2 linked regions of the Caenorhabditis elegans genome follow. The protein of the gene in region 1 purifies or fractionates together with the protein of each later gene. This does not show direct contact. Each region holds a gene or a part of one and is shown on either strand. Other genes may lie near its edges.

Region 1 (15,944 bases):
CACAAAGATGTACTGCATGGGAGTCTCGATGCTGAATGGACGGCGCTGACGAAGAAATTGGACAGCTCGTTGTACTGGGTACTGAAAATGTGTTTAATTGAATTGATTTCACCATTTCCAACTTAAAAAGTCACTAAATTCTGATACAAACCTTGTAAGTTGGCCCTCGGAGCAAACTGCAAATGGCAATCTCGGCAGCAACAAGACAAGCCGCTCTAGAAACTCCCAAATGATCATGGATAACGACTGGCTTCGACGCGTTGCGAAGTAAACGAAGAATATTTAATGGAGAGTACATATTCGATGAATTGTTCACGTCTCCTTGCCAATGTTCCACGTGACGTTCCTCGCGATCCGGTCCAATGAGACGAAGATGAGTGACACGGAACAATGGGTCTGGAGCTTGATAGACACCAAAGTTCTCGATTCGAAGTCCACCAGGAACAGTAACGGCGGGATCCGACGGAGATTTTGGCCAGTAATATTCACATCTTTCCGGTTCCTTTCTGCTGGTTAGCATCACAATGTATGGAACTTCCTCCTGCCAAACCATTCTCCAAAAATCATCAACGGTGTTCTTCATTGGAGCTTGAGTCATGATGAACTCATTGAACAGCGGCTTTCCAGAAATCCGATTTGCGTGAATGAAATCTCCGAGATACTGACCGCGTGGGAATTGGAGAGCGATTCGAGTGGAATCCCTGCAGTGAACACGTGGATTACGGCACTTTTCCTGGTTGTTGTCTGAAGCTGAGTGAGTGAATGGGATGTGGTTGACAGAGTTCTCGAGGATTTCAAAGCGTCGCTCCATTCCTCCGATGATGGTTGACAGATACTTCGCTTTTCTCGCTGCTCCAAACATCCGCTTTCCGATTCGAATGTTGTTGTAGACTGAAAAAAAGTTAATTAATTAAGGAAAATAATTATTTATTTTCTTACACTGTCCAGCAACACGAACTCGGTCTCTGTCAGCAAGAACATTTGCCTTGAAAGCTTGAACTCGCTTTTGCATCGTAGAAGCGTCGAGTTCACGAAGTAGGTATTCAGCCAGTGTCTCATTCTTGACGGCTTCTGGATGAATATCCGAAATCCATGTGCTGGTTTGATCATGTGAAAGAAGGCGCATCAGAAGCACCTGATCTCTTGCGGATTTCAGATCGATGCGATGATTTGTGAAGAAAGTTGAGTTGATTCCGAACTTCTCACAGATGCTTTTCAACGGCATCACCCATCCTTGACCGTTCACTGGACGCTTTGGCTTCTTTCCATTCTCATCCCGACGCATGTAGATGTCTGTGTATCGACCCTTCCATTTCGAGTCGAACTTTGAAGAGAAAAGCAGCTCTTGAGTGATCTCGGTGTCATCATAACTTGAACGAATCAAATTAGCCATTGCTTCCTTTGTCACCTTCTTATTGCATGGAGTAATCGATCCAACACGGGATTCTGCAGAAGCTGCAATTTTGTAGGCTGCATGAAGAGAGAAAGCTCCTGGCGATTGATGATTTTCTAGGACAGCATTCTTCATCTCCAATGCTTTCCGAGTCTTCATGACCAACGCTGGTTCCACTTGCATCGCAGTTCGGGCGGCAAATACTTTCATCCGAACATCGTTGAAGTGTCCCTTTGCCATCTCAATGTCGGCTCCATGCCCGGAATCCTCGCTTCTTCCTTCGTCCTTTGGTTTCTCGGAGACAAGACAGTCGAGAGCTTTGGATTTCCGCAATTTCGATGGAGCTGCATAAGTAGACGGAGCACCGCGTGGGACTTCAATCGCATCCTCTTCCGAGTTTCCGTTCAGACGCTCCTTGGATCTTCTGCAACATAAAATATTAATTTTCTAATACTTAAGAATCTCAAAGTACCTGTCCTTCTGAGCGAGCTTCTTCACTTTCTTCCGGAAACTCTTGCTAAGCGTGCTCTCGCTGTTGAATCTGGCTCTCATGCAGCTCACTCCCTTTTGTTGAGGATAATCCACCATCATATCCATGTTATCGGTGCTATCCGCGGAGGAGTCGTCGGTGTTTCCGGAGCAGAAGCTTTGAAGCGACGTCGCTCGCTTCCGGCCAGCTTGTGAGCGCATCGCATTGATTTGCTCGCGGAACATCACTTCGCTGTTCAACGCCATACCTGGAAAATAAATAAGCTTATTAAACGGCAGAAGAGACAGGAAAAACGATTTTGGGAGAGCACAAAATGGAAATTAGACGAATACGCGGATTTTTAATAGAAAATAACTGCGAAAAATACTGTTTAAACAACTGAACGGAAAAAGTCGAAGTTTTAGGAGAACAAAGAAAGAAAAAATTTCGGAAGTTTCCAGAAAACAAGTGCAATCATTTCGCTGAGCGGACAAAATACAAAATTTCGCGCTCTCCCAAGAATGTAGAACAAATTGTAGAACAAAGGTACGGTAGCAGATAATGTGTGTATTTGCGTACTTTTTTTTTGCATACCGTACTTTTCTTTACTTAATCGCACATTATAACGGAAAACGCATGTTTAATTAAAAATAGATTTTTTAAAAATTGTTTATAAATATTCAATATACGGAAAATCTGATTATGCACTTCGTGGGGATCGAACCAGTGTCCTGCTGTGCCTCCCTTATTCCCCACTGCACCATCAACCACTGCTGTTTCGCAGTCTCCGTCTCCTCGACAACACACACTCGTCGCTTCTCGCTTGCCTCGAAATGTGTCGGTACACACGTTTGGGTAAGAGGAGAGGACTCGTTGGTATCTTCGGTTTTAACCCAGTTACTCAAGGTACGCTGGAGTTCTGACCTTTCGAAAGAAAGTGTCAAACGACTTTAATTTTTGGAACCGCTCTGCTGGGGTCATCCGGTAGAGCAAAATAATTGAATCCGATTTTAAAAGTTTATTAAGTTTTATGTGCATTAATGACTGACTTGCAATTCTTAGCGAGAACTGTTGAGCTATGATAGATGGTGCGAGTTTTATCCTTTGTGAACACTATTTGGAAAAGGTTTTATTCACTTGAAATCGTTTCAGGGAAAGAACATGAGAAGATTTGATTATGCTTTAGCTAAATTCCAAAAAAAAAAATTATTAAGACATGCGGAAGAAGAATTAAACCAGGATATATCACAACTTGGGAAGGAATCAACAAGCCAAAAAATAATGAAAATTATTCAGCAAACATGGTAGAAAGTGATGAGAAGAAAATATAAACACACAAAACATCACATAAAACGCTAAACAAAAATTTAATGAAACCTTTTTTCCATTTTTTAAATTGGTCCATCAATTTTCTTGTTTTATGTGATGCGATGCATGTGTGCTAACAAGGAAGTTTATTGGAATATTATGAAAATGAGAAAACAAGTTCACAAATTGGTAGAATATGGGGTGCAACAATGAAATTTTTAGAAAGGTTTAGCAAGATGAGCAATAATCTCGTGCTTTCGTTCCTCGGTCATCTCGTTTTTCGTGATCAGGCCGTCGAGGATCTTCTCCATTGTCAAAAAGCTGAAAAAATTTGATTTTTAATTAAAACGAAAAAGCCTCACCTGAGGAAGTTAAGATTATCTTCTGCGAGATTGGCAGTTGCTCCCTGTTGTCTATCCAAAACAGCTATGGCATCAGTGACCAACAGATTCTCATTGCGAATTGCTTCTGCTGTCTCACGAATTGATTCACCTGATGTGACGACATCTTCGACAAGAAGTACTGTACCACCAGGCTGATAGACTCCTTCGATAAGTTGCTTTGTTCCGTAGGCTTTGGCTTCTTTTCTTTTCATAAGCATCGGCACATTGAGAATATCAGATACAAGCTAAAAACATTGAGTCTCATTTTTTAGTGTGAATTATTTCTGAAAACTGACGGTAGCAAGTGGAAGGGCAGCATATGGTACTCCAACAACATAATCGAATTTGAGGTTTGAGGCGACAATTTTCTCACACATAGCTTGAGCAGCCATTCGGAGCACACGAGGAGAGCTCATTATTCTGCGAAGATCTATGTAGATTGGAGTCATCTGGCCAGATTTGAGGTAGAACTCCCCAGTGCGAAAACATTCCATTTGATAGAGATTCTCGAAAAAATCAGTTTCCTGGATTGGTGAAGCGGCCTGGACTTTCATGACGACTGGATCCTCGATTGAGTGATTTCCGTTGGCGGTAGCGGTGGCGGCGGTCATTCTGAATTTTTAACAATTTTCGAATATCAATGTGAAACAGGTTATTTTCTTTCAATAGAAAAGTGAACAAATATCACTTGGTCAGATGAACCAGGTACGTGATTTGAAGGAAGAAAAATAAATAAATAAAAATGTGATATTCATGAAACAAAACAAATCAATTCAACTTTAAGAAAACAAAAATCACTCTATAAATCCTAAAACTGTACAGAAGAATCGAGAAAACAGACAACGCAAAGTACGAAAAGATAGCCTCGTTTGATAACACTATCATAAGGAGGTGTGGCCAAAAGTGCATTGTCGGCGATCTTCGACCCGTAAATTTAAGTCGATTACGAATTTCATGTCTAGGGCCTTGGCGGAGCAATTGGGTAACTCTTCGGGATACTCTTCCACTCCTTTTCAGTACGTTTGTAGATCATCTGTCGCGTGAAATGACCCATCTTTTGATTTTCTCTCAAATCCTTGACTGCTTGACGTTCGGCAGGAGATTTGAGGATTTCTTCCAGATTGCATTCAACCTTTGGAGCCGGCAGTGTGTCCACTTGAATTAGATCGACTTGAACCTGAAAAAATATGGTTCAGATTTTTGTAATGACCAAAAAGTGACAAATTAATTTAGAAAAAGAACAAAACAACATTCGAAATGAATCTAAACAAAGAAAACTTTTAAACAATAAGACCCGATCATACATCAACATCAGATAATATATAATGAAATTTAACTAACTCACCGTGTCCAGGTCATGTGTCAAAATAGACTTTGTTTTCTGTCTAGCTTCCCGAGACATGTGCGCCTTGAAGAGGAAGAAACTGCAAAGAACAAACAATTTTTTTAAGATATATAGTTTTTAAATATTACTTTGAAGCGTAGACGGGCTCATTTGTCTGTTTGGCCAGCCGTTTATACGGTAAATCTCGATGACCCAGTGACTCAACCTTTTCAATTACTGCTCCGTGATCCAGCAAAGTGTTTCCAGCACGCGTTAAAGCTTTAACAAGATCTGCCTGAAATAAAGAATATTCTCATGATTATACACATTCTCACGCTTCATCGTGTTTTTTCTGTACCTTTGACAGAGATCGTGTGATCATGCTCACTTCATAAAACGGCATTGTTGTTCTCGCCCAGTATGAATGCTTTTTCTTCACTGAAAATATTTTCTATGCTACGAATTTGGAAATATGTCAATGAAAATCACGATAAGAAATCACAGCACAAGCTATTTTTCCAAAATAGGAAGTTGCCATTTTTCAACGACAGGCTGTGAACACAAGATTATTAAACAAAAATTTACTAGAACAATAAAATAAATGTTCAATTTTCAATTTTTCGCATTAGAAAGTTAATTTTCCGTCATTGCAATCGAAAAAAGTTAATTTTAAAGTAAAGAACCAGGAAAAATAAAGTGGAAATACGGGATGGGTCTCACCACGGCCAGTGTCGATTTACGGGGAAATTGCATGCGCCTTTAAACGATGATATTTCTTTTTTGAACGGGAAGCGGGAAATTGTCGTTTTTAAGCATTATTTATTTATTTCTTTTCATTTTTTCATTCAAATTATATTCTAGATACGTTTATGGCAGGTTTTTCCGCAATGATTAAGCGTTTCTCACTGTTATGTCGATTATTAACGTGTTAAACTGTTATGTGTTGATTTTTTATTGTGATAAATTTATTTTCGTTTTTTAGAAGAATGGCTCCAACTAACAAAGACGGAGATGTGGCGACTGTCAAAGCTGTAGATGTTCTCAAACAAAAGGCTGGAGCCCATCATTGCCTTGGAAATGTTCATGCAAACCTTCCCGTTAATAAGGTTAGCATACCTGAGCGAGAAAATTCGATTTTAAATAAACACAATTATTTAAGGTGACCGTCCATCCATTGGTTCTTCTGAGTGTTGTTGATCATTTCAATCGTGTCAGCAAAACTCAAAGCGTGAAGCGTGTTGTTGGAGTCCTTTTGGGGTCCATGAAAAAGGACAAAACTCTGGATATTGGAAACAGTTTTGCTGGTATTTTTAAAAATTTATTTGCTTACTTATAAAGTAATTTTCAGTTCCGTTTGATGAAGATGACAAGGATAAAAGTACATGGTTCCTCGACATGGACTATTTGGAGAGCATGTATGGAATGTTCTACAAGGTTGGTGAATTTTGAAATCTCGTTTTTATTTAATTTTAAACAAAAAAAATGAATTTACAGGTTGCCGCCAAGGAAAAAATCGTCGGATGGTATCATACGGGTCCAAAACTTCACAAGGTATATAAGAGGCAAAAAAGAGACGGGGACAACGCGCGTAGTGGTCTAGTGGCTAGCAGGCACACACTCTGCGCCTCCAGCCATTGGTTCGATTTCTCATTCCACTCGGGTTTGTGATGACTGCATACGGATCACTGGGCTCTGAATCTCTATGAACCGATAATATCCGTTCTGATACCCGTTTTTACGGTTTCATGATCGATGGAGCGCGAACTTGTTTAAATTTGAAATTATACTGTGCAAATAACAACAAAGCAAAAAAAAAAAAACTTAAAACAAATCAAATCAAAACTTTTGAAAAAAATCGAAAAAAATGCAGTGGATACCTGACAAAAAAAAAAGAAAAAACCGTGTCACAGTGTTGCGAAATTACGCTCCGCCTTACTTTCTGTGCCACCCTGATTTTTGCAAAATTACGGTGTTCAACTTCAACAGTTTAATTAATTATTTATTTATTAATTTTACAGAACGATATTGCTATCAACGAGCAATTGAAACGATTCTGCCCGAACCCGGTTCTTGTAATTATCGATGCTGAGCCAAAGAACATCGGATTGCCAACAGAGGCTTACATCGAAGTTCAGGAAGTTCACGATGTACGTTTCAAAATACTGTTTAATTTTTTTTCAATATATTGTTTTGTAGGATGGAACTCCACCAATCAAAACCTTCGAGCATGTGCCTTCAGATATCGGAGCCGAAGAAGCTGAGGAAGTTGGAGTCGAGCATCTTTTGAGAGATATCAAGGACCAAACTGCTGGAACTCTTTCACAGCGTATCACCGATCAACTTATGGGCTTGAGAGGACTGCAATCACAGCTTGAATCCATTGAGAAGTATCTTCATGATATTGTGCGCGGAACTCTTCCAGTCAACCATCATGTCATTTACTATGTTCAAGAAGTTCTCAATCTCCTGCCTGACGTCACTCATCCAGACTACATTGTTTCACAGAATGTGCAAACTAATGATCAGCTCATGTGTGTGTATATGGGATCTCTTGTACGATCGGTGGTCGCTTTGCACAACTTAATTGATAACAAGGTGATTTGCAAAGATTTTAAAATTTATTAAAAGCTATGATTTTTAGATCTCTCTCCAGAAGGCTGAAAAGGAGCAGGAAACTGGCGAAGCTGAGAAAAAGAAGGATGAAAAGGATAAGAAAGACAAAAAGGATGAAAAGAAGGATGAGAAAAAGGAAAAGGACAGTAAATCATCAACCCCTAATACTCCAAAGAAGTGATAAACAAACTCAGAACATTGATTGTATCCTCATGTCCACTTCTCCACCAATCTCTTTTTCTTTTACCCTATCGCATCATATACATTTAATTTATTCGGTCTTTTATTTTTCTGTGCATCAATGTAGTATTTTATCCCCGGTATTTAGATCAGTTGCCAATAATTTTTCAGAAGACAAAATCTAATAACTTTATTAGAAAAAATAACAAAGATAACATCCCCGTAAAGCAATGGTAAATATCACGAAGAAAGGCATGGCTTATTAAATTAGGAGTATCCAATGTGGATTTAAAGATCTTTTTGCTGATGCTTGATGTAAATGCCTTCGGCAACTTTCCATGCACTTCCACCAGTGATCGAGTCGGTGCCGACGACCTCCCGTTGTCCATGAATGGGGCGTCCGAATTGTTGTCCCGAGAGTGAGAGGTATGAACCAGTGACAGCGTGGCGAAGTTTGAATTGCTAAAGTGAACAATATAGGGTATTCAAAACGTATAGATAATATCGAAAAGGAATGTAACAAACCTCGGATTCCAACCACTCATCTCCGTTGCAAATCACAGTCCAATCATCTCCCGTGTCACTTTCTGCTTCGCTGCCAAAAGCGGAGACCTCCTTTAAAAAATCAAATTATTCATTTGTTTTCTCGAATTGCCAAACAAACCTGATGTTGTTTGGAGAGAGGTGCAGTGAAATGATGGGAATGCAGGAACGTGCCCGTGGTGAGGTGCTTCAGACGGATCTTGTCTCCGCATTTGATTGCATCTCCACGATTGCATTTTGCGTTCAAAGCTGAAGTAAGAGAATGTTCGGTTTTCTTTGTTCTTTTTTTTCAAAAAGCATTAATATACACAAATTATTATAGTTTAAGTTACTAGGCGTTAACTTCCAAATAACTAACCTGGGAAAATCTGCCAATGAGAATTGATGTCGTCCGAGTTTTTTACAGCAGTCACAGATTGTTGGCCGGACCCGCTTCCGTATTTTACGTCATGCGAATGTAACCTGAAACCTTTTTGTTTCAAACAAAATCTACTTTTTCGAAGGGAAAATGCTCATTTTCTCAGGAGATATTCTTTAATATTTACTGTTGGTGGCAACTATTTATTTAGTGTCATTAACTTTACCGAGTTTCTAATATTAGTGCAAACAATTTTAATAAAGTAAGCTGGCTCACGTACCTAGAGCCATCATTAGCATTTATAAACTTTAAAACGCTGTAGCACGTCACAAAGTCTTCATCGGCGTATGCAAATGAGGCGAAGAATAGAAGTGGAAAACTGAGTAGTAGTGGCAATTTCGGCATTATTTTGGTTCCCTGTAATAATATTCTGTTTTATTATTCCAAACTTTCTAGAATTTCATAGAGAATGTAGCAGAAAAGATTATAAAAAGAGAAGCTCCTGCAAAAATTAAATCAACGTCGCTTTGCACGAGATGTGCGTCAACCAACGTACACCATCGACAATGACGTCAGTAGCCGCTCTTGACGTACTTTGTTCCCAACACCTTGTGGTTCCGCAGTCAATTTTTTAGCTGTTTGGCGGCCAATTGACGCGACACCGCTTATAAAATTTATATCACGAGACCTTCTAATCTATGTTTGTTTGAAATCATAAGGGTCTTATCACTTTCCATTTTAAATTTGTTCTCTTTTGAAAACTTAAACCTTCTACTTACAGCTCAACAGAAAACACGACGCATGGGTGAGCGAGAAAGGTGGAACAGGTGATGAAGCTCAAGCGGTTATTGATATTTGCGTAAGTTTTTTATTGTATTCATATAAAATAATCATTTAAAAGTCGTTTTGATGAACTGAAGATGTTTTCACTAAGAATTATCCCAAAAATGAATTTAATTGCTAATATTTCAGCGTACTACTAGTACTACCCAACATAAATGCTAATCAAGAAGTGTCATTTGTAAAACACTGGAAAGACATTTTACTGACTGATGGAGAACATAGGTAATCTTTTATTTTTAAAACACAAATTCTTACAAATTTTTTGAAATTTCAGTCCAATTTGCGCATTATCTATCGATGGTTGCGCCAGGTCAGCCCCGTACAATGTTTCGAAAAAGATTATGAAGGCTTCGGGTAATAATATTTATATTTTATTCCATAAATAAAATATAAATTCAGTAAATGCATCGGAAAAGGATTCGATACCCGAGAAAAGCATAGATAACTTTGATGAATGGACGAAAAAGCGAAGAGATGCGGTTGCGGTGAGTTTTTATTTTATTCTGAGAGAATTATGTTTTAAATTCGAGTTTTTAGAACCAAAACGGACAGAATCAAAAAACAATTGAGCCAACTCAAGTTGCCCGGCACGATGAAGTTTCAATTCCGCTGCCCCCAATCACTCGTCCACCGAGAAACTTTGCCAGTCGGGAATGTGGCGCTAAAATTATCGCTGCAAATCCTGAAGCTGAGAATGCTAAAGCTGTTGTAAATGAGAAAGACGTCGATGATTATATGAGAAATCCATGCCAATCTGCCAAAGAAAAATTTATAGTTATTGAGTTATGCGAAGCAATTCAGATTAAAAAGATAGCTATTGGAAACTTTGAACTGTTCGCTTCAAGACCCAAAACAATTCAAGTTTTCATTTCTGAGAGATACCCTCCTCTCGCAAATTGGATCTCTGTTGGACCATTTCATCTGCAGGATCATCATAAGAATTTGCAAACTTTTGATGTTCCAAACACAAATGTCTATGCAAAATATGTCAGGATCAACCTAGAAGATCATTATGGAAAAGAACATTACTGCATTGTTTCGGTTGTTAATGTGATGGGGAGTACTTTGGCTGACGAATATGACAAAGAAGAAGCTGCTGCTCATCTTTTAAATGTAATTGAAGAAGTGAAGGAAGAGCCAGTGACAACTCCGCCACCATCGGAGCAGAAAATGCAGACACAGCTTCCAGTGCCACCGAAATCTCCGAATCAAACTGTTTCAGCACGAATGAAATCAGTAGAGTAAGTTTTCTTTCCAAAAAGCACCGAATTAATTATTAATATTTAATTTCAGCTTCCGTCAACTGAAATCGGTTTGCTCACAATGTTCTGTAGGGAAAGTTTCCAACCTCATATGCCATATTCTTCCAATTCCAACGAGAGTAAAGAAAAATGATTTAGTCAAGCCTCCGAATAACCTGAAAACATCCACAATTAAGCCTGCAGTTACGGATAAGCGAGACCTCAAGACAGAAATCGGATTGTGGGCAGAACGAAGTCGGCATTCTAATTTCGAACAGTCTAGGAGAAGAAATTTGGCAACAATCCAAAGACTTCACCCGAAAGATGTGCAAAAAATTTCCACAGCACCTGATGTTCCGACACCTAAAGCTGAAAATATCGAAAAACCCACTGAAAAGCCATCGGAAGAGGTTAAACCTCCAGCTCGAGAGCAACCACAAGTTTCCTTGCCTCCAAAGCCGAAATCTGAGCCGATTCTGCCCGCCGGAGGATCCACTAACCAACGGGAGCTGGTTCTTATGAAATTAAGCAAACGTATTGCAGCAGTTGAACTAAATTTAACACTGAGCTCGGAGTACCTTTCGGAATTAAGTAAACAGTGAGTAAATCATTTAATATATTTTTTAGAACGATTAATAAAAATATAATTTCTCAGGTACGTATCTCAAATGAGTGGATATCAACAAGAATTAAAGGAAACTCGTAAAGCTTCCAAGAAAACCGCCCAAACTGTCGAGGCAATGATGAGATCGAAAATGAATGGTGTGAAGCGGGAGTTGCGTGATCTGAGGCAGTCTGTATATCTCCTCCAAAAGCTAGAGAATAGTCGATACAACAATGTACAAAGTGAAATGAGTCGACAAGTTCTTATGTCTTCCTGTCATATTAGCTCGAATGTTCCGCCAAGTAAGATTTTTTGAAGATGAATCAACTTTATTTTTCTAATTTTTAGGTCCAACGATAGCTCGGCTACCTCTAATTATTCCCGCTTTGAACAGAAAGCTTGAAAACTTCACGAACTTTGAGGAAAGAATGAAAAAGATTTACGAAACTGCCAAATCGGTGATGTTCGGTTCACTGACATGGAATGTAAGTTTACCAACTAGGTAACTAGAAAATCCCGTAACATTGAAATTTTCAGACTGATCATCTAATTGTGGCTTTAATATCATTCAACATCATGGCACTATCATTTCTTTTTGCTGGCGTCTTCTACATTCATCGAAGAAATAAGGAAAGATGCGAAGAAACTCAAATCATTGTGAAAAACGAATTGAGAGCTCGAATCGCGAAAGTTGGAATAGAGAATCGCAAGCTGATCTCAAAAGGAATGCGAAGAGCAGAGCTGGCGGTCACTGCGGCTGTTTCATCTGCGTTGAAGATTGAAAAGACGTCGAGTAATCGCAGTGCGATGACAGAATTAGAGACGGCACTTGCGAATTTGTTTGAGGCTCAACAGACGCGGATTGAGGAGCAATTTGAGCAGAATCAGAAAATGCTCCGAGACGCTTTGTCGGAAAGAAATGGATCCCGATTTGATGATACTTTAAGCGTGGAGGACAGTGAAAGCTCGTCGGAAACGGAACATTCAAAGGAGGATACACCGACTTTAAATGCAGATTAGAAAATTACTGTAGTATTTATTCATAACAAAGCTTGAATTTGTAGTAGATTACTAACTTGGTGACTAGCATTCCATACGAGTTCAATTCTTTCTTTCTCTTTCCTTCCTTTTCCATCACTCTCGCCCATTTACAATCAAATTGCCCTCTTCCCCCATACCGATTGAATTGATTTCGTTTGTACAGGTTTTCGACATTCAATGTCGCTTATTATTCTCCATCCTGAACCATTTTTCAGCTTGCTGTGCATGCTTTTCTCCCCCAATTTTACTGTGAACAGGGTCTCCTCGCCGTCCGGTGTGATATATTTGCCACACCGAATTGATTTACTGATTCAGATCTTTCCATTATAATTTTATTGTCACTGTAATTTTCCATGAATTTTTGTGTACTTTTTCTTGGCATTTGGTATTTTATCGAGTTATATTCTCTAGCTAGATATTTGAAATTTTCAAGTCAAGATAAGAAACATTATAAAATTCAGATGAGAGGGGGTCAGGAGATTTCGGATCCCATGGATCTTCCGTCGACATCACATGACTCAGCCGATATGTTCGAATCGAGGAAACCACAGAGCAAGTATAAGGTAAGGAAGGTCTCAAAACGACACTTTTTTGTTAAATGAGAAAATGTGTGCGCCTTTAAAAAGTACTGTAATTTTAAACCCTTGTTTCTGCGAAATTTGTATCGATTTTGCATAAATTTTCGATAAAAATATATTAACTTATGTATAAAAAAAATCAAATTTGACAATTTTAACACATAAATTTTGAGAATAAACTAACTGAGAGTTTGAAATTACAGTACTCTTTAAAGGCGCACACCTTTCCTCATTTATCAAAAAAAATTGCCGCGTCAAGACCGGAAATCGTATTTTCAGCGCAAAATTCACAAAGGACAGCCAGGAAACGTTTTGTTTCAAAAAATTGAAATTCCAAAACTCATTACCAATATCAAAAATTTGGAATAATTGAAAATCAATTGTTTTTTCGTGACGAATCCCATTCAAAAAAATCCATGCGCCTTTAATTTCGAGTTACAGATATAATAAACCTAAAAATTGAATTTTCAGAATTCTCATTTCGCAAACTCCGTTCTCCAACAACTCGGTGGGCTCAAAAATCGCGATGTGCTCTGTGATGTGACACTGGTATAATTTTTACATTGATTATTTATTTAATCAGTAAAAATTTCAGATTTGCGGCTGGAAACGAATAAATGCACATCGAGTTGTGCTGTCTGCGTGCTCTCCATACTTTTTGTCAATGTTCACTTCTCAGATGGCTGAGTGTTATATGAGTAATTATTTCAAATATCAGAAATCACCTACAAAAATTAACTTTTTAGGAGAAATTAACATGGAAGAAATTGAGCCACCGACTCTTGAAGCACTTATCGAGTTTTGTTATACTGGAGCCATTGCAATTGATGACTCAAATGTTCAGGATATTCTTCCGGCGGCATGCCTCCTTCAGATTCATGAAGTTCAAACCGCATGCTGTGATTATTTGAAAAAACAGTTAGATCCATCGAATTGTCTTGGGATTCGAGCATTTGCGGATACACATTCCTGCAAAGAGCTCCTAAGTTCTGCAGATGAATTTGCACTGAAAAATTTCTCGGTAAATAATTGCTTAAAAACACTTTCCTTATTAGCCAGATGCGAAAATTTGTGATTTTTGGACCAACAATGGTCTCGCCACGACTTTGCTGCGAAATTTTCATTGATTTATTGCTTTTCGATAGAATTTTTTCTGAAAAATCGATGAAAATTCCACAACAAGGAAACTTAGAAATTACAGTACCCTTTAAAGGCGCACGCGAAACTCTTGGGTAATATATTTAACTCCAACTTTTTAATTTCAGAGAGTGATTGGAAAAGAGGAATTTCAAATGTTAACTGTGGAAAGCCTTACAACAATCATCAAAAGCGATAAACTCAATGCAGCTTCTGAAGAGCTAGTTTTTTCCGCAGTAATACAATGGGTCAGACATGATATTTCAAAAAGAAAAACTCATTTATCCATGGTAAGGCTACAGAGATCCAGAGCTCTTTTTATTTATTATTTCTTCAGCTGCTCTCCCATGTCCGTCTGCCTCTATGCACTCCGAAGTTCTTGGTGAGTGTGGTCAGTGAGGAGATCCTTGTCAAATCGGATCCAGCGAGCCGAGATTTAGTTGACGAGGCAAAAAACTACCTGCTTCTTCCCGTGGAGCGTCCGAATATGCAAGGTCCTCGAACGAAACCCAGAAAACCTCTACAAGGATCAGAAGTTTTGTACGCTGTCGGAGGCTGGTGCAGTGGAGATGCGATCGCTTCGATCGAGCGCCTGGATCCAATGAAAGGAGGAACCACGTGGAAGTGTGTGGCTCCGATGGGAAAACGAAGATGTGGAGTTGGAGTTGCTGTTCTGGAGAATCTTTTGTACGCTGTGGGTGGTCACGATGGACAATCATACTTGAATAGTATAGAAAGATACGATCCAATGACCAATCAATGGAGTAGTGATGTGGCACCAACTGCCACATGTCGAACGAGTGTTGGAGTAGCTGCTTTCAACGGATCTCTGTATGCTGTAGGAGGTCAAGATGGAGAAAGTTGTCTTGATGTTGTCGAAAAGTATGATCCACGGAAAAACGAGTGGGCGAAAGTGGCCAGTATGGGAACTAGAAGGCTAGGAGTTTCGGTTTCAGTTGTTAATGGTTGCATTTACGCAGTTGGTGGATCAAATGGACCCGCACCTCTGAATACTGTAGAAAGGTATGATCCTCGAGTTGGAAAGTGGGAAGAAGTTCGACCGATGCTAACCAAACGAAAGCATCTTGGAACAGCGGTTTATGATGGATACATTTATGCGGTTGGTGGAAGAGATACCACTACAGAACTCAACACGGCGGAGAGATACAGTGTCGAAAGAGACGAATGGCAACCGGTTGTTGCCATGAGTAATCGGAGAAGTGGAGTCGGAGTGGCGGTTGTTGGAGAGAAGCTTTATGCGGTTGGAGGATTTGATGGACAGACTTATTTGAAATCTGTGGAAATTTTCGATAAAGATACGAATCGATGGAAGACGCACTCGCAGATGTTCTACCGACGGCTGGGCGGTGGAGTTGGTGTCGTCAGGGTGGCAGATGCTCCGGAAACAGAATTACATGCAGTGAAACGACGGGATTTATAATTTAAAATTTTGATGTTAAATAATAAGTGTACATAAAAAAGAAAGTTATCTGATTTTTAATAAATATTTAAAATTGATTCAAAAATTATGCACTAATTTGAAGTTCAAATTTTGAAGACTAAAATATTTTTAACCAAAGAATCGATGGAATCCAGGGTAATTTTCGTGAACTTTTACATTTAAATTTTCTTTACGTTTTAATTTTCACGTTTTCAAACAAAAAAGCGACTTCTTGACAAAAAGTAATTTATTTCGAACATTTCCATAGAGGAAAGCAAGTGTTCTCTTCGAAAGCCAATCTTCAATTTGAAAAGGTTTGTTTTTGTTCTACTCAAATAAGTTGGTCAATAAGTTTCAATTTGACCTACAAGGACACCGCGGTGGCGGGAAGAAAAGAAGGCTAATGTCACTTCGTTATTTGTTTCTTTTTGAAATCTTGTGGCAGGTGGCCGATGATTAAAATGGTTTCTTTTCCGCCGACGGTTTTT
Region 2 (16,734 bases), on another chromosome or scaffold:
GTTGAGAAATTTATTAATTAAATTATTAGAAAACATAATTATCAAATTGATTTAAACTATTTAAACTATTCATCGTCTAATTTCAATTTGGTTGGAGGCTGAAGGAATGCGAAACATGCCACGTCATCCTTAAACCCGTCACAATATTTCTGAGACGCAACGACGAATGAAAATTCGCATGGTGAACAGATTACGTTAAAATGTCCGCCGAATTCCTTGTTCGCAGCTTTTTGAATCTCTCTTTTGGAACTTTTTGCATCCCTTCTGATGTTCTGAAAACTTCCGTATTGTTAGTTCAGCCTGTGCAACAAAATATGAACACATTGCAGCCGACATATCACTGTTTCATGAGAGTTTGAACACATATCTCAACTCACCTCTTTTATCAATTTTCTCAATTTTTCATCATTGCAGTTTTCTGTCTCCGCTCTCTTGTGCCTTATCGCTCTTGTCATGGGAGATGCGTGCAAAGAAGAGTCAATCTGCAAACAAACTTTTTTAACTGCTGCCAAAACGTCAAAACGTGTGGTCCTGTGGTGTAGTGGTTATCACGTCTGCTTCACACGCAGAAGGTCGCCGGTTCGAACCCGGCCAGGACCTACTTTTTAAATTTTCCAGCAAAATTTTGATATTTTAATTACCTCTGTCCTCGTTGCAGCTTCTTCCAACAACTTTACTGGACTTGAATTTTCAATTTGAATGGATATTTCGTCTCTCATGAGCATCAACATTCCTTCCATTTCTTTCATCATATGAGAGATTCTATGTAACCCATTTACTCTGTCAGATTCGATTGGGGGACTGAACCGAATTTCAGATTTTCTTGTTTTATTTGTGCTAATTTCCATTATTTCATTTTTCATCCTTTGAACTTCCTTCGCGTTCAATGTTGGCAAAAGCTTCATTGTTTTCTGAAAATAAAAAATAAACTTTGATTTTATAACAGAAAAACAACCTGATGATCAAAACTTGGAGTTGGCTGAAAAGTCGATGTTTCTTCATCGTCTTCATCAGCAAACAATTTATGTTGAGAAATTTCAAAAAGTCGCTGAAGTGCGGAACATTTTACAGTTTCAACCGATGCATTGCATGGAGCCCGTGGAGCTGGACAACTGGGTCCAACAAGTGGACATGGTTCTTCTATACATCCACAACAACACAACTCAGTTCTGACAGGAGCAGTTAGTACTGATGGGATAATGAAGACAATTAATAGAAGTAAAATCTGAAACTTTAATAATTATTTCAATCGGAAAGCAAGAAAACTCACCATTGTTTTTTTTTGTTCTTTTTGGGTATCTTCAGACAGGGATAAAACAACAATGAATCCGTTTGACCCCTTTTTCACTAATTATGTACACACATACAAGTATATCGCCGACCCACATTGAAACCAGTCTAACTTTCTTTTTTTCTAAAGATACGGGTAAAGTTAATTTATTTTCATGAGAAAAATAATCAACATATCCCTAAACTGGTTTTTTTTGTTTGTGGATGAAAAATAAAGTATTATGTAATTTTTGTTTAAAATTATTTTGTTCGTGTCGCGACCGGGTTGTATTTTTTGAATCGCTTCTTCTTCTGGATCCATTGACTGAAAAAAAAGAAAATTCAATTAAGATTAAAATTATTTTAATACAATTGGTACATTAGTTTTGCTCCCACTAAACCAAATTTCCCCGTACTATGTATTTCCCTGTAAACTTAAATTTTATTAGAAAAATGATGATGGCTGAAATTGTTCTAATCAGAAATTACCAGTTCTCATTTTTGTTCTATTTTTTGTATCTCTTATCAAGATGTCCTTGCCACTCCAACCACTCCAAATTCGCTAACCACAAAGTATTTGACGGTCATCTTTCAATTTGATTCCCAAAATTTCCAACGTCCTACTTGATGCGTTATTTACTGTTAGTTTCCATTTTTATCGCTGATGTTATAGCTGAAAATGAAAATACAACTGTTGAATTTATGCCAATTGGCAAGGATATCACGGTGGCACCAGTTAACGCTGAAACGAGGAAGCCTGAAATAATATCATCCAGAGTTTTCAAAGAAGACGGTATAAAATACACTGAAATTATACGAAAAACATCACCCGGTGCTACACAAACTGTTCATATCAAAGTGGATGAGGTAAGTTCTGAACTTAAATATTGATAATTAATATAAGCAATTTTAGAATCCGTCGATATTGCCAGTACCTGTTCCAAATTTATCAGGATTAATGAAGCGACTTCAAACAACACTTGCAAAGAAATTGGAAGTTTCTTCTCGTGAATATGATCCACCAATAAGAACAACAACTCCTGAATATTTTCCTCCGGTAACGGCCACAATTGTACGGGCAGAAGGGTGAGTTTTTACCAAATTTTACAAACTTAATACAAACTTTGCAAAACTGTGATCGGGATCAGAATATTTTTATACTACGTTCTAGTATTTTGCAAAGAGAAAATAGAACCAGTCAACAATTAGGAAATGATTTGACATTCAAACTTTGGCCCTGTTACCACAATAAATGGAAAGACTTTAAATAAAGGAAAATAGTTTTTTTACGTTTTTAAGAGCGAAACTTAAAAATCAAATTGACACAGTTTTAGAAATTTTTAAATATAGTTCTTGAGAAATAATATAATTTTTAAAAAAAGTTTTGGTTTTGCAAAGTTCTTGAACTGAAAAAAAGGTTTGTGATTTTATCAAATAATTTTAATTTAAAACTCATGTGTTCAAAGTAAACTCTGCTTTCAGACATTCCACTAGGACGCAACGCACGTTTGCTATAATATTTACGTAAACAAGTAGATTGAGCCGAATTTCTACAGCATATGAATGTATTTAGACAAATTATGTCGAAAGTGTTCTTTCCGTGAAAAAAAACATGTAATCACGCTTAAGGAAAAAATGTAATCACGCTTAAGGAAAAAACACAAAACAAATGATTTCCGAGTAAATCCATATGTGCATGGTATGGAAATTTGGCCCCTTTCAGTCACCTTTGCTTATTTTGCAGAGTTTTTAATAAAAAGTTGAAAACTGTCAGTTTACATTCCACTTTTAATAAAGTAATGCAGACACAGTTATTGAGAAATAATAGTATATTTCAGACCAATTAATCAACGGCCAATAGGATTTGATCCACTGCCAAATTACCAGTACCCACCTCCTCCTTATCCACCAATGATGTATCCTCCGCCGTCGTATAGTCTGATGGGACGAGTTGGAAGTATGACTGATAACATTCTGGATAATGTCATGGAATTTGTGTTAGGACGTCGACGACGCTGAACTATTGCGAAGATTTGATTTATTTTTTGTTGCAAAATGAAGAAAATGACAACTTGAAATATAAAAAGTCATGAAAAGATAAAACAAAAATACACGTAAAACGTTTTTAAGAAAAGGCGGTGAAGGAAGGGAAAATAACTTAAGACTGTGGGTGTTGGGAATAAGTAGAAAACTTAAAATGTGAGTTAGGATTTAATTGGGTTAGAAACAGGAAGTTGAAATTCTGATTCGAAGACACCGGCTCAGAACTGAATTGGGCATAAAAAGTGAGTAAGCAAAGAAACAAAATTAGAAAAAAAAACAAATAAAGCAAAAAAGCAAAATCGATCGATCTTAAGATTGAGAAGGAAACGAATGAAAGGATCAGATCATCGGAAATGGGAGAGATTTGATAGAAAGGCATGAAGACAGATTGAGCAGATCATCTAGTTTGACATCCGACAAATTCAGACAGTTTCAGCGGATATTCTTGTACTACTTTGAACTTCTTCGTGTTGTAAACCTGAAAAATTAACATAAAAGATCGATTTATATTTCAACAGCAAAGTTGGAATCCTATTGAAAATTGTTACTATAGAGTCGCTATCGAGAGAGTTATGAATGCTCTAAAAGCTGATACGTATGCTGAACTCAAGATATAAATTTTCCCGATAATTTCGGCAATTGGCGTTCTCTGAAAATTTAAACTTATCGGAAATTGACGGGGCTGCCGATTTTCGTAAATATAAGTACTGTTTAATTGAGAATATCGCCAGCGGAAAAAAGTGGCCGACTGCCGAAGATTTTAATATTGCGGAAAGAATACCTTTAACTTGTTTGTCTTGGTGTACATCAAAAGTGTTTCTCCAGCTCCGTTGTACACGATTCCCAGTAGATCCCTTGGCAGATTTGGGAAATACTTGCGTGTGTGGCCTGTGAATGTGGCTAAGTTCCAGTATGCGTCGTAGATGATGAAGTGTTCACCCTGAAATCATTTCAACCATGACAAGAAGGTTTTCTTAAGATTGATATCAACTCACACTGAGAACAACTTGATTTCCATCGGCCCATTCAAATGCTGACAATGGATGGATTGTGATGTTTCGGGGAAGATCTTGTGGGGTATTTTTCGCCAGCTGGAATCTACGATGTTTTCTGTTCCAACGGAATCTGTATGCAGTTCGTCCATCAAAGAGAATTGTGACTCCAGATCGAGAATTTGTCAATGCGGCGGTCACAGTTCTCGGTCCTCCAGCAAAGAATTCACTGATCAAGTAAGACGCTTTTTGTGGAAGTCCGTCTTCAAACCAAATTTGATAAACCCTTTCGCGAGCAAAAACATAGGTTCTTCCATTGATTCCCTTTGTAATTGCATCGAATTTTTCAGGACAGACATCAAATGACAGAGCCATTGCTTTCTTTGGAACTTCAGCTTCTTTCTTTTTCGGAACAACATGAGTGATTCTCCATGGAGCAAGGATCAAGTCACGACGTTCACGTCCAAGGACGACTTTCTGCTGACGATGCTGCTTGTTTTTTCTACGACGGACTGTTGGATCTTGTCCACTGGCACGAATCATTTCCCATTTGGTCTGACTATTCATACGTGGCAAAGTTGGAACTTCTTCCGAATTTACTTCGTATTGAGGTGCGTCATCTTTGTCGTCGATCATCTAGAAAATAAGTAATATAACATTTGTTTAAAATTAGAAAATTCCTTCTATAAGAAGGCTGCAACAATAAAATAAAATAAAAAAAAACAGAGACTTCGCTAGTTCACTTCTAAATTTCGGACAATGTATTTCTTCTTCAGATTACTAGTTTTCACTCATTGAAGCAAATTTTTTGAAAAGAGCTTACTATTGGATCCGATTCGTGTTTGTAATAGGTGTCTCCAATTTCTGAATTGACCATTTTGTCCACGAATCGACTCTCCACCGTTGTCACCAGTATCAACAGCAATACCACCAGTGGCTTCCTCATTCTGAAGTTAAAATAATGTTTCTTCATAAATATTTTACAATGAAGAGAGGGCACGGAAAAATGAAAAAGACAACATGGTTTCCTCCAGACAGACTCAAACCACGCCTCTTTCATACACACGGCCAACACACATTGAGATGGTGTCAGGCAAAGTGTCAAGTAGAGACAATGTTTGAGATGAAGAGACAGAGAACATAGAAGAGGTATGTGGCAGATGAGCATTTTTTAAATTGAGAAAAGGCGAGAACGAGCAAGATAGTTTCAAAGGACAGAAAAGGAGGAAAAAAGTGAGGTCGAACGGAAAACTTTTAAAACTTTCAAACATGAAAAGGAAGAATATTTGAGCAAATAGGTTTGATAAAAATTTGATACAGTTAGGAAAAAAGAAGAAGATGCCCTTAAAATCAATATTGTATTTTATCTTATATGAAACTGAACCCGCTGAGTTGTGAATTTCGGACTATTACGATCAGATGTTTCACATCCTACGTTTCAAGTTCTATTTGTCATATTCTTTTTCTTAAAACCTCTGCCCTTCCAACAGTCTAGAGTAAAGTTACAAAAAGAATCCTTGATGACACATTTCTCACTCCTAACCTTCAATATCCCCGTTGTTAAAAAGCAAGCAACGTAAACATTTTTCCATTATCTACCATCGGCTACCATTTTATTTTTACAAATTTACGATCAAAAATAGATTTTTCTAAACAAAATCATGAGATATCGTCTGGGACATCAAAGTAATATAGCCGACGGCAATTTGCAAAATATGAGAAATATGAGAAGATCAAGAGAGGTATGAAACCACAACGTCTGCATTAACAAGTACCCCTATTTTGCATAACACGAGATTACGATACGTGCGCAAAGAAAACGAAAGAAAAGGACAAGAATAGAAGAGATGAGGATGGTAAATGTGTGAAAAACGGTTGAATTACCAAGTCAAGTAGGTTGAAGAAATGATTTCTTACGAGAAAATGTTGGGTATGACATCTTGCAAATGTCTAGACTTGACTTGAAATAGTAAAAAGGGTCAAAAAATTAAATTTTCATGCGAAGTGCTTTTTATGTTTATTGTACATGGTTTTTACGAAAACGATGTTCAAGTGATATTTTGAATATATTTTCTGTGTTTTAGATAATTCTAAAAACTTTTTTACGACTTTTTCCATAATTTTTGTATACGTTCATCTGAATGAATATGAAATTTCAAAAAGAAGAACTCTAAAGGATCAAACACCACAGTCTATGAAAGTTTGAATAGAGAATAACATTGATATTTTTCCCCATTACTCTCATTTCAACTCCATACATATCTCTTTCTTTCCCGTTGCTCTTCAACTTTTCTTTCTGATTTGAACGTGTTTGCGATACAAAAGAGCCGGGAGGTCTTCCTCGCCGCTGAGACAGTCGCCACCCGCCACATGAAATTATTTGTTCAAATTATGCCTTGTACAATAAGTGTGCGGCTCCTTGTTCAACCATGACACTTTTGTTTTCCGAAGAACAGAGTGGCTCATGCATCGGTCGTGGGGCAAGTCGGCTGAACACTGACTGAAAAGCTTGGCTCGGCGCGTGAAGTGTGCTCATCAGGAATGACGAGTTGCTCTTTTGTAACTCTCCGACAACATGTCTTTTGACTTTTTTGAAGGAAAGTCGGCATCAATACACACACACAAAAAGAGATATGGTGATTATCTGGCTCTCACGTCCACTCGTTTGCAAAAGCGGTGTTGGTTGCCATAAAAGGTTGCTCACACGATTTACTGTAGTATTGCAAAAGAACAATCAAAAAGTGCAAAGTAAACGTGCGTTTTTGAATCTATCCATTTGAAATAAAAGGTCGGGACTGGAGATGAACAGAAAGGACGGTAAAAAGAAAGAAATGAAAGAAAAACTTGTGGAATAGGGTAATGGTCAGTTTTCGGAAAAGTTGCAACGTAAGCGTCTATGAAAATGATTACCGAGAAGCTTATATTTTATCATTGAAAAACACCACTCGTACTCCTATTTTCCAAAAAAAATACTCTGACAGGCGATTCGGGTAAGGTCGTTTTGAACAGTGTGAACATACTTCCAAAACAAAAACTTCAAGTGATGACCATCATTTATTTATTTTTGAAACATTATAAAAAATTTCATGTTTACTCTTTAAGGATCAACCTAGGCAAAATATTACTTATTGGTCTAGTTCTTGAATTATGGCAGAAAATTCAGTCTTTGAAGTGAGAATAGCGTTTTGGAAACATAATTCAAACGTTTTCAAATAATGGTAAAATACAGTAGTCATTTCACATCTGTGCATTAGATCGATCAATTTCATTCATTTTATTCATAAAAATGGGAATTTAAAAAATTCAAACTTGAATTCCACAAAAAATTCTGTCTGATCCCTAACTACCAAATATACCAATACTATCTGACCTGAATATTTCAATTTTTGCTCACTATCATTTCGTTGACAATCGTTACAGTCAGACCATTAGAATGTTACACACGTAAACGTAGTAAACTGATTATATCATCGACTGGCAAACATTCGATGTAGAATTACATAATAGAATTCCAGAAACAAATTTGTTTTCAAAAAAAAAACATTTGTAACAATGGGAACCTCCCAAAACAAAAAGTGTTATCAACGACAATTGAGGAAGAAAAATGACTAAACGATGTGAAAAGGAGGCGAAAATGCCCACAAACAATTTGAGCAAGAGCCAGTAATCAAAAAAGTAAGCAAAAAACCGTGGTGTACTCTCATTCGGAAGGCTAGAGAGTAAAACAGAAAAAGGACGCGCAATGTGGCCAAGAACGGAAAGAATATAAAGAAAAGAGAAGAAGCGGCTTTTGCATGTTCACCCTTGTTTGCTTATCATAATTTCGAGAGAATCGCTCACGCCGCTACACAATTACGAGGCGTCGGCGACTGTTGAATGGAGGAGACAATGCTCGCAAATCTGAGTTCATCAAACAGATCAGACTTTTGCAAAATTAATGGGATTAAGCTATGTTTTTTGTCACTGAAAAGCTAACAGTTATAACAGCAGAAAAATATTTTTAAAAGAGAATGCCAATCAATAAAACCTGCATCAAAGTTTTTAAATCAAATTCGATTAATATTTATTTTTGGGACGGTTTCTTTAATGAAACGTCTCAGGGCGATCCGAGATATTTTTAAAAGTTATGAGAAAATAACTACAACTGTAAAAATCCATTCATATTACCTCAAAAAATTTTCACATTTTGAATTTTTTTTTGGTGATTTAAAAATTGCAAACATATAGAAATAATTTGAAATTGTGAATAAACTGAAAAACATGTTTTTTACAAGTAGATTGCAATATAAAAAATGTAACTCCTGTGTAAAGTCATTTGCGCTGGAGATACGAATTCAGCTACATACTGTTATTTCCATCGACTGCATGCCAAATGGAGATCGGATGCACTACAATTAGAAAGATTTTTTTACTTTACACTGTTACATTATGCATGACACTAGAGTTTTAAGCATTCAGAATATGCACAATGAATGAAAACTCAACTAATTTCTTTCAGAAAACAAATGTTAGAAATAATATGATAACATGTATGGTCCAAAGAAGGACTATATTCTTTGTTATCAGTGGTATGATGTTTCAACAAACTCATCAAAAATTAGTAGTTTGCTTATCAAAGCAACGGGCCACCGAGTATCACCTACACATACCCCCACTCACACACACAAACGTATACAACAAACATTGGCGCCCTTATCACAATGGACACTGAAAGAAAAGAAGGAGGACGCACCTCCTCAATATATGGCGCAATCTTGGAAAGGGTATCATAATTGGATCGCAATGTGATACATATACAGAAAACAAATACATACCAAATAGTATAGAGAGCTCGACGATGAATCCGTCTCCAACTATTTTTGTTTCTTTCCCAGCATTGACAGCACCGAAAAAATAGGAAAGAGTCACAACAAAACGCACTCTATAATACAATACAAAATTCTGTCTAGTACGATGACGTTCCGCATTATTTGTTCAGTTCTGGCACGTTGCCAAAATACAATAAAAAACATATCACAAAAACCTGAAATACAAAATTGGTTAACAGTATGGGTGGTCTCCATTTGGAGAGAGGGGGGGGGGTGATTCGAGACGGAAGGATCGATGTAGACAAAAGCCAATCTTGAGTGCTGTAGCTCTCAGTGATCACTCTATTTGTATTGTGTTTTTAAAACCTTATCGGCGAAAAGACACAAGGAAAACGCGCGAAATCACACGTGTAATCTTATTATATTTGTGTCTCTAAACTATTTTATCAGTGTCTGATATACCCAATTTGGTGCGGCAATGGTAGTCGTAAAGCCTTCAAATTTGCAGGTGATAATGATGTTTGGATTGTGATAGTAATTAAAAAAGACGGAGTAGAAGGGCTCGTTGTACAGTGAATTTTCATAATAAGGAATCAGTATTAAAATCAGATTATGTATCTAAAAATATTCAGACTACTATTGGAAATTAAAAGTTCAATTTTGAAAATATGCGTCTATTTTTCTTCGAAAAACTACGGCATATTATCCATTAGTTTTGCATTTCTGTTGATTTACTTTGACGGTTTATTCATTAATTGTCGTTTCAAATATATCATCTTCTGAAATCTTCCAGAAACAGTTTTAAAACTCTTATACCATGCACTGTTTGAAGATTTTATTCACTTTTTGAACTATGTATAACGTCTCCATTTAAATGTTCCTTCTGGCGTTATGACACATGAAAAATATTGTAGTTTTATATGAAAAATTCCCCACCGATTTACATATTCCCCTCGATTTTTCGTATAAGAATAAGGTTGAAAACGGTATAAATGAACACATTGCTGGTGGAAATATCATTCAGCATCTCGAGATGGTTCGGTTGATTCATCTTATTGGAGCTATTATTCTACTCTTTTCCTACGCCTACTGCGGACTTTCTCGGCTCAATGAGCATGATATCGAAGAAAGTTACTCTCATAAACGAGTTAAAAGACAATTCGAACGTCTTGGAACAAAATGGTCATATGGAGTAGTTAACTATTATTATGCGGACAAGAACAATGAAATAAAAGAGATGGTTGAAAGTGCGATTGCTTACATTGCAAATCACACTTGCATCAGGTTCAATGAGGATCAAAATGCTGTACAGCGTGTGCAGATTCGGATGCAACAGTTTGTTTCATTTACGACTTCCTAACAAACCGTTGTATTGCAGAAACTGGCTTTGTCAGTCGACAGTCGGAGCACCAGGTATGAGTATGAGTAAGCCGATTGGAGAGCTTTCTATGTTGGTTCAAAGTTGTGATACCATCGGAAGTATCGTTCATGAATTCTCGCATTCACTTGGAAGATTTCATGAACATACTCGCCCTGATCGTGATAATTTCATGAAAGTAACAACCACTGTACACGAAGCAAGACCCAGGCCATCGGGAATGACAACAATGTATGGACCATTTGAACATGGAAGTGTCATGATGTACCATGCAGACACCTATGGTCCTGGAACTATGGATCCATTGGATATGGACTACAAACAAACAATGGGAAATAGAAGAGTGACTTTTTATGATATGTACAAAATCAATCAATACTACGGATGCTGGTGTTCCAAACAGTTGGAATGCAAAAATGGAGGATATACTTCACCGTCGGATTGCTCCAGATGTAATTGTCCAAAAGGATTCTTCGGAAATCTTTGCGACGAAAGACAACAAGATTCATACGAATTAATGGCTGTAAACAATTTGTGGCAATCAATAACAATTCCATTTGCTTACAAGCCAGAGCCAGGATCGGATGGTTTTTATTCAACATTTGTGTACATAACTGGGAAAGCTAACTCAACAATTGAGATTACTCTGGAAGGACTCCAGGATGTAATATGCACGGCTGGATGTACTGTGAACGGTGTTGAAATTAAGTTCAAAGAAGATTCTAAAATAACCAGTCCAGTGTGAGTTTTTGTTTTAATCGTGCTTTCATTCTTGAGCAAATGAATTACCCAGTCTCGACATGACGTATTTTTCCGCTAAATTGTTTTTTTTGGAAATATGTCTGAACTTATTTGCGTCAAAATTCCAAAAAGTTCAGCCCTTTAATTTTCATAAACCAACATTAAAAAATATTGATTGAAACCAGTCAATAATATTTTTGAAACAATTATATTCTCTTATAACGATGATTTTTTTAATTTCTAATTTAACTTTTCATCTAGCGTCTGCTGTACTGATAAACCACCATACAAGAACGTGTTCAAATCGTCTCACAACCCAACAATCATTGAATTGTACTCAAGGACGACTTTACCATCAGCTGTTACATTCAAATATCGCTTCACGAATGACAAAGTTGTGCTTGGTTAACATTTCAAGGAACACAATTAATCTCATTCCCGAATAATGAATACGTCATCTTTTATTTTTCCTAATTATTTTCTCTTCAACAAGCTACATAAAACAAATGACAAAGTTGGAATATTTTTGACCATTCTCAGTTTTTGGAAATTTGTATCAATCAGATCTTAAACTCAAACAATAGTCAGTAGACATATATTTTTGGTATTCTAAAAAGCCCAACTTACAAAATGTTTTTAAACAGATTGGATGTTGGAATTAGTTTTAAAACGAGTTCAATATTTTTCTCAATAGGCCATTACTCGTTATCTTCGATGTTTCAAGTAAAACTTCAGCCGAATCGCTAACAATTCAATTTGAATTGATACGGCTTCGAAGTAGGTACCAAAACGTTTGTCTGTCTGTCCTTAAGAAACTACCTATATCTCTGACACGTGAACGTCTTCTCATTTCTTGATTTTATTTTCATCAAAACGATTAAAATAAATTCCAGAAAACGGCAAGAGCACGGCAGGTTTTGTTTTGCTTTTAGAATAAAACTAAAAATCATTGAAGAGTTTTTCTCCAGTTGTTTGTAATTGTTCAATCAGGAAGTGTCTCAAATACTCTTTCTTCGTGTTAATGTTTGAAAAAACCCATATCGACATAGTAAATACGATTTATTAAGACGGTGATTTAGACGTAATACTGATAATTATCATATCCATTAGTTGACTTCTTATTGCTGCTCAATGGAGTATCAACGTATCTGTAATGAATTGTCAACTTGCTGCTTCCGTATCTCTGTTGCATAACAATTGGTGTTGGATTTTGTTTGCTGGAAATGACTTGGTTCAGATATTCAGTGTCTTGGGCACAGCATCGTCTGAAATTAATAATATAATTGTTCTCCTTCACTATCTGAATGATCTCACAGTGGATTGGTAATTCTCGGATCACCCATATATTTAACCTCCACTCCATTGTAATTGCATCCGTAAGAGCATGTGAAACCTGAGAGATCCATTATCTTAACCTCAATCGTTTTGTCAGCTGGCGCAGTGATCCACAAGTAAGCCAAGTAATAGTTGGTAGTTTGAATTGAGGTACTGTACCCAAAATTAACCCAATATCCTTTCCAATAAGATTCTGCGGTGAGCTTGATAGTATTACTTGGCTGAAAACGTCTGAATTTAGGTGAGCAAATTATTTTTTTACAACTGACTGCTTCGTTGCAAAGAGTTCCAGCAAATCCAGTCGGGCAGACACAAGTAGCACAATTGGATGGATTTGTATATCCACCATTCTCACATGTCAAACTCTTAGCACAACCGCAAGAATATCGAACGTTTATATTGACCAAATCGTAGAATGACACTCGACGCAATCCCATTGTTTTCTGATAATCTTCGTTCTTTGAAACAAGGGTTCCCTCTCCGAAGGTGTTGTATCTGTACAACATAGTGCTTCCATATTCGAAAGGTACAGCATTGTACGTCGTTTGTTCAGTTTCTTTTTCCAAGTTTCCAACCATATTTTCAGGAACATCTTTGTAGCTGACCGACAGGAAGTTATCACGATCAAAACGAGAGTGCGTGTGGAACAGTCCAAGAGAGTGCATGATTTCGTGAACAGCAGTACCAAACTAAATTTAATTCTTATTTTATACGGGGGTTCGTTGTAACATCAGCTAAACATATTTTTCAGGTTGAACTCTAACTAATCTCAAAATCAGCTAATTTTTCAAAGTCGTCTCAAACTCACGATAAGACATCCATCTCCGAACCACAAGGTTTGTTCTCCTCCATTCATTCCAATATAGGAAGCACATCCTCCTGTATTTGTAAAACGAATTCTGTTCGTTGCTGAATTACTTTCTTGGAATTTGACACAAGTGTTCGAACTGATATGGGCCATCGCATATGACATCAATTCTCGTTTAAGACTTGCTGGAATTAAGTTTACATAACAACTTGAATATAAATTTTTTTAAACTTACTGAATTCATTTTCGTAGTAATAAAATACTTTTGCATCTGGCCATTTTTTCCAAATCTTTGTGATCTGCCTTTTTGAACGTTTTGCGGTTCCATTGAGAATTCGAAGCTGAGCTTCAGTAAGCATAATGTCTCCATCTACAATACCATCTTTTCCTTTATTTGAATCAAACTCGTCCACATCTTTTCGGATCGCTGATCCAGCAACCAATGCCAAGAATAAAGTTAGAAGTAAGGTAGATGGTCGAAGAAACATGTCGAAGTGATTTTCTTTGACATCTTCCATTGTTTTATACAGTTGATATTTTTGCATATTGATGAGTCTCTCATGATTATGCACTAAATATGCTGACAACTTTTGGATAAGAAATACATCAATATCGTGAGAAAAATGAAAGAGAAGATATATAAAAATTGAACCAGTGAACTAACAATTTTAGATTATATTGAAATTGTACGTTCAAAGTTTACGTATCCTCTTTGAACTGGACTAGCATCAGGGGTGCGCGGCAATCGGAAATTTCGGTAATTGCCGGTTTTGGAAATTTTCAGCGATGGGCCATTTTCGGCAATCCGCGATTGCCAAAATTCAAGAAAATACGGAAAATTCGATTGCCGAACGGCAATTGGCGCGCACACCTGACTAGCATGTGCGCCCAGTTTGAACATTTAAGATGTTTTTTGTTCTTGGAGCAAAACTCCCTATTAGTTTTAAATTGGTGCACCACGAATTTTCAAAAACTCCTTGTGTTGTTCAGCAGGCGTTTGTAACCAGACAAATGATGAAATTTCATTCCTTCATGGCTGGATCCCTTGATTCAAAGGAGCGGCCATAATTATTGTTTTGAGTATTCCTCAAGTCTATGACCAAATATCATTTCACTTTTTCTTATTAAATCAGTTCTCCGGCCAAATAGTTCTATGATAGTAAGATTATCCACAAAGGGTGATTACATACGAGTGTTTGTCATGAATAGTTATGGACGTCATCCAAAAAGCTTTCATTTTTACTATTTTATTCCTTCTTAAGAGTTTATTTAAGTTATGATTATGATGTTCCAACATGCGGCATTGGTAGTAAACTTGTAACATGTCATGACTTTGACTGGAAGTATTAAAAAATCTGATAAATCTGAAATCGAAGTTTTTTGTAGTTTTTTTCATGGACTTAAATATTTTGAATCAACAAAAATTTGTTCAGACATAATCCCCACTGCTACTTAATATAACAGACTACTTAATACAAAAGAAGAAAGAATATTCGACAAATTTGTAAATGTTTCACATAATTCAAAAGATCAAAAGATGATTCAAAAATGTTATTCGAAAATAATTGACAAAGATAATTTAATCATAATACTCATAGTTATCATATCCATTGGTTGTTTTATTGTAGCCACTCAAGCGTTCAGTCACATATCTGTAATGGAAAGTCACTTTGTTTTTCCCAAAAAGTGTGTGAATATTCATAAGAAGCGGATTCAATTTTGATCTGAACGATTTCCCATTGATTAAATCAGCCGAACAATAACTGCAACAAAAAATTATTCGGAAATTGGGAAGTATTCAAAAACTCACATTGGATTTGTGATTCTGGGATCCCCCATATATTTGATCTCCAATCCATTAATAAGACAGGTAGGGTAACTAAAGAAATTATCTATTCCCACAACTTTCACTTCAATAATTTTATCTTTTACTTCCAATGGCAATCCAGTATCCTTTCCAATAAGACTCTGCACTCAACTGGACACTACCAGTAATCTGAATTAGAAACATTTTTAAAAAACCGATGTACATGGAAGGTCATATAAGAAATAAACTAACTGGACGATCACACAAGACTCCACCATATCCCAACGGACAAATGCATTCCGAGCATTTCGACGGATTTGTGTATCCTCCATTTCCACACAATAATTCATTTGGACATTTGCAGTTGTATGCAGTATTTAAAATTACCATATCATAAAACGTGACTCTTCCTATTCCAAGTGTGGCAGAGTATTCTGACTTCTTGGGAAACATTGTCGATATATTCGCATAGTAATGCATAGTGCTTCCGTATTCATAAGGTACAACGTTTGTAGATTGGTTGAAAATTGCATAATTATGCATCATTTCCTTGGACACATTTGTCAGATTAATGTTTAAAAAGTTATCTCGATCAAGTCTAGAGTGGGTGTGAATAACACCTAATGCATGCATTAATTCATGAACAGCAGTTCCAAACTGAAAGTTTATGTGATTGAGATCTGTCTATCATTCTTTCGGTGTGCCGTGTTTGGAAAATTTTCGAGTTTTGAAAAATTGTTTTCTGTACCTGTCATCGAAAACTTTCCAAAAAAAAAAAACATTTTCAATGCATTACAATTATCTTGACATTCCCGGTAACTTCTGGTCTAACTTTTGACCTCAACAAATATAAAGTGATACGTTTTCCTTGAATCACTTGAAATGAATGATTGATTTAGTTGGAAATAGTTTGCAGTTTCTAGAAAATGCCCACCACTACCAGAAAATAATCCACTTTTTTCACACTGTTAAGGCAACACATAAACATTAAGTTGGTCGTGAACGCCGAGAAACGGAAATATACATATGTATGTCGAAATGAAAGAAAAACTCACGTCTATGCACGTATCGTTAAATGTTAGATGTTGTACTATGTTATTCATCCCAATGTATGATGAACAGCCTTTACCGTTAACAAGTTGGACCCTGTTAGGAATTGAACAGTTTTCTTCAAAAGTCACGCAAGTTTGTGAAGATATGAAGTTCATGGAGAAAAGCATCAATTCTCGCTTTTCAGTACCTCAAAGTACATGTTTATAAGTTGTATTTCACTACTTCAAAATATAATAGAACTTACTGAATGAAGAATCAAAGCAATATAATAATTTTGCACTACTCGGTAGTTGGCTCCTCCTGGGGCGCGAAGGGGGTGCGACTGGCGCGCGAAAAGAGGTGAAATGCGCCTGGCGCGAGGATAGGGCGTGACTGGAGTGCGGAACAGGCGCGCTCGGATTGTGAAAAGAGTATTCTGAAACTGCCAAAGTGTCTACATAAGATGTATTAATCAATTTCTTGCGAACATATTATTGCTTTGAGACATATTTTCACACAAA

What was found.
Region 2: the proteins of R12E2.13 (region 1) and K03B8.6 fractionate together in Caenorhabditis elegans (co-fractionation; one large-scale study listed by BioGRID). This does not show direct contact.

What each region holds. Positions count from the first base shown.
Region 1 is NC_003279.8:4,169,460-4,185,403, forward strand, and holds R12E2.13 (MIR domain-containing protein), read right to left. Parts: upstream 8,989-15,944; 5' UTR 8,977-8,988; coding exon 8,852-8,976; intron 8,676-8,851; coding exon 8,572-8,675; intron 8,463-8,571; coding exon 8,335-8,462; intron 8,286-8,334; coding exon 8,196-8,285; intron 8,133-8,195; coding exon 7,959-8,132; 3' UTR 7,846-7,958; downstream 1-7,845. Other genes in the region: Inactive protein-tyrosine phosphatase egg-5, read right to left, coding at 1-81, 152-891, 940-1,817, 1,866-2,128; R12E2.11 (Orotate phosphoribosyltransferase), read right to left, coding at 3,389-3,491, 3,533-3,798, 3,850-4,164; mrps-6 (Small ribosomal subunit protein bS6m), read right to left, coding at 4,512-4,730, 4,899-4,977, 5,027-5,172, 5,236-5,280; rpn-8 (26S proteasome non-ATPase regulatory subunit 7), read left to right, coding at 5,864-5,983, 6,037-6,181, 6,226-6,311, 6,372-6,428, 6,896-7,024, 7,074-7,472, 7,519-7,671; suco-1 (SUN domain-containing protein), read left to right, coding at 9,402-9,430, 9,544-9,636, 9,689-9,768, 9,814-9,899, 9,952-10,655, 10,708-11,253, 11,311-11,561, 11,608-11,744 and 1 more; kel-20 (BTB domain-containing protein), read left to right, coding at 12,762-12,863, 13,350-13,427, 13,474-13,576, 13,625-13,899, 14,144-14,305, 14,353-15,456.
Region 2 is NC_003283.11:11,396,101-11,412,834, reverse strand, and holds K03B8.6 (uncharacterized protein), read right to left. Parts: upstream 5,252-16,734; 5' UTR 5,251-5,251; coding exon 5,128-5,250; intron 4,941-5,127; coding exon 4,308-4,940; intron 4,253-4,307; coding exon 4,094-4,252; intron 3,791-4,093; coding exon 3,710-3,790; 3' UTR 3,292-3,709; downstream 1-3,291. Other genes in the region: grl-3 (Ground-like domain-containing protein), read right to left, coding at 66-272, 378-482, 642-911, 956-1,225, 1,271-1,273; K03B8.8 (Conserved secreted protein), read left to right, coding at 1,897-2,136, 2,183-2,355, 3,108-3,288; Zinc metalloproteinase nas-19, read left to right, coding at 10,146-10,447, 10,491-11,231, 11,493-11,640; Zinc metalloproteinase nas-17, read right to left, coding at 12,307-12,496, 12,546-12,787, 12,836-13,255, 13,375-13,559, 13,610-13,919; Zinc metalloproteinase nas-18, read right to left, coding at 15,118-15,137, 15,185-15,253, 15,307-15,370, 15,434-15,838, 16,237-16,401.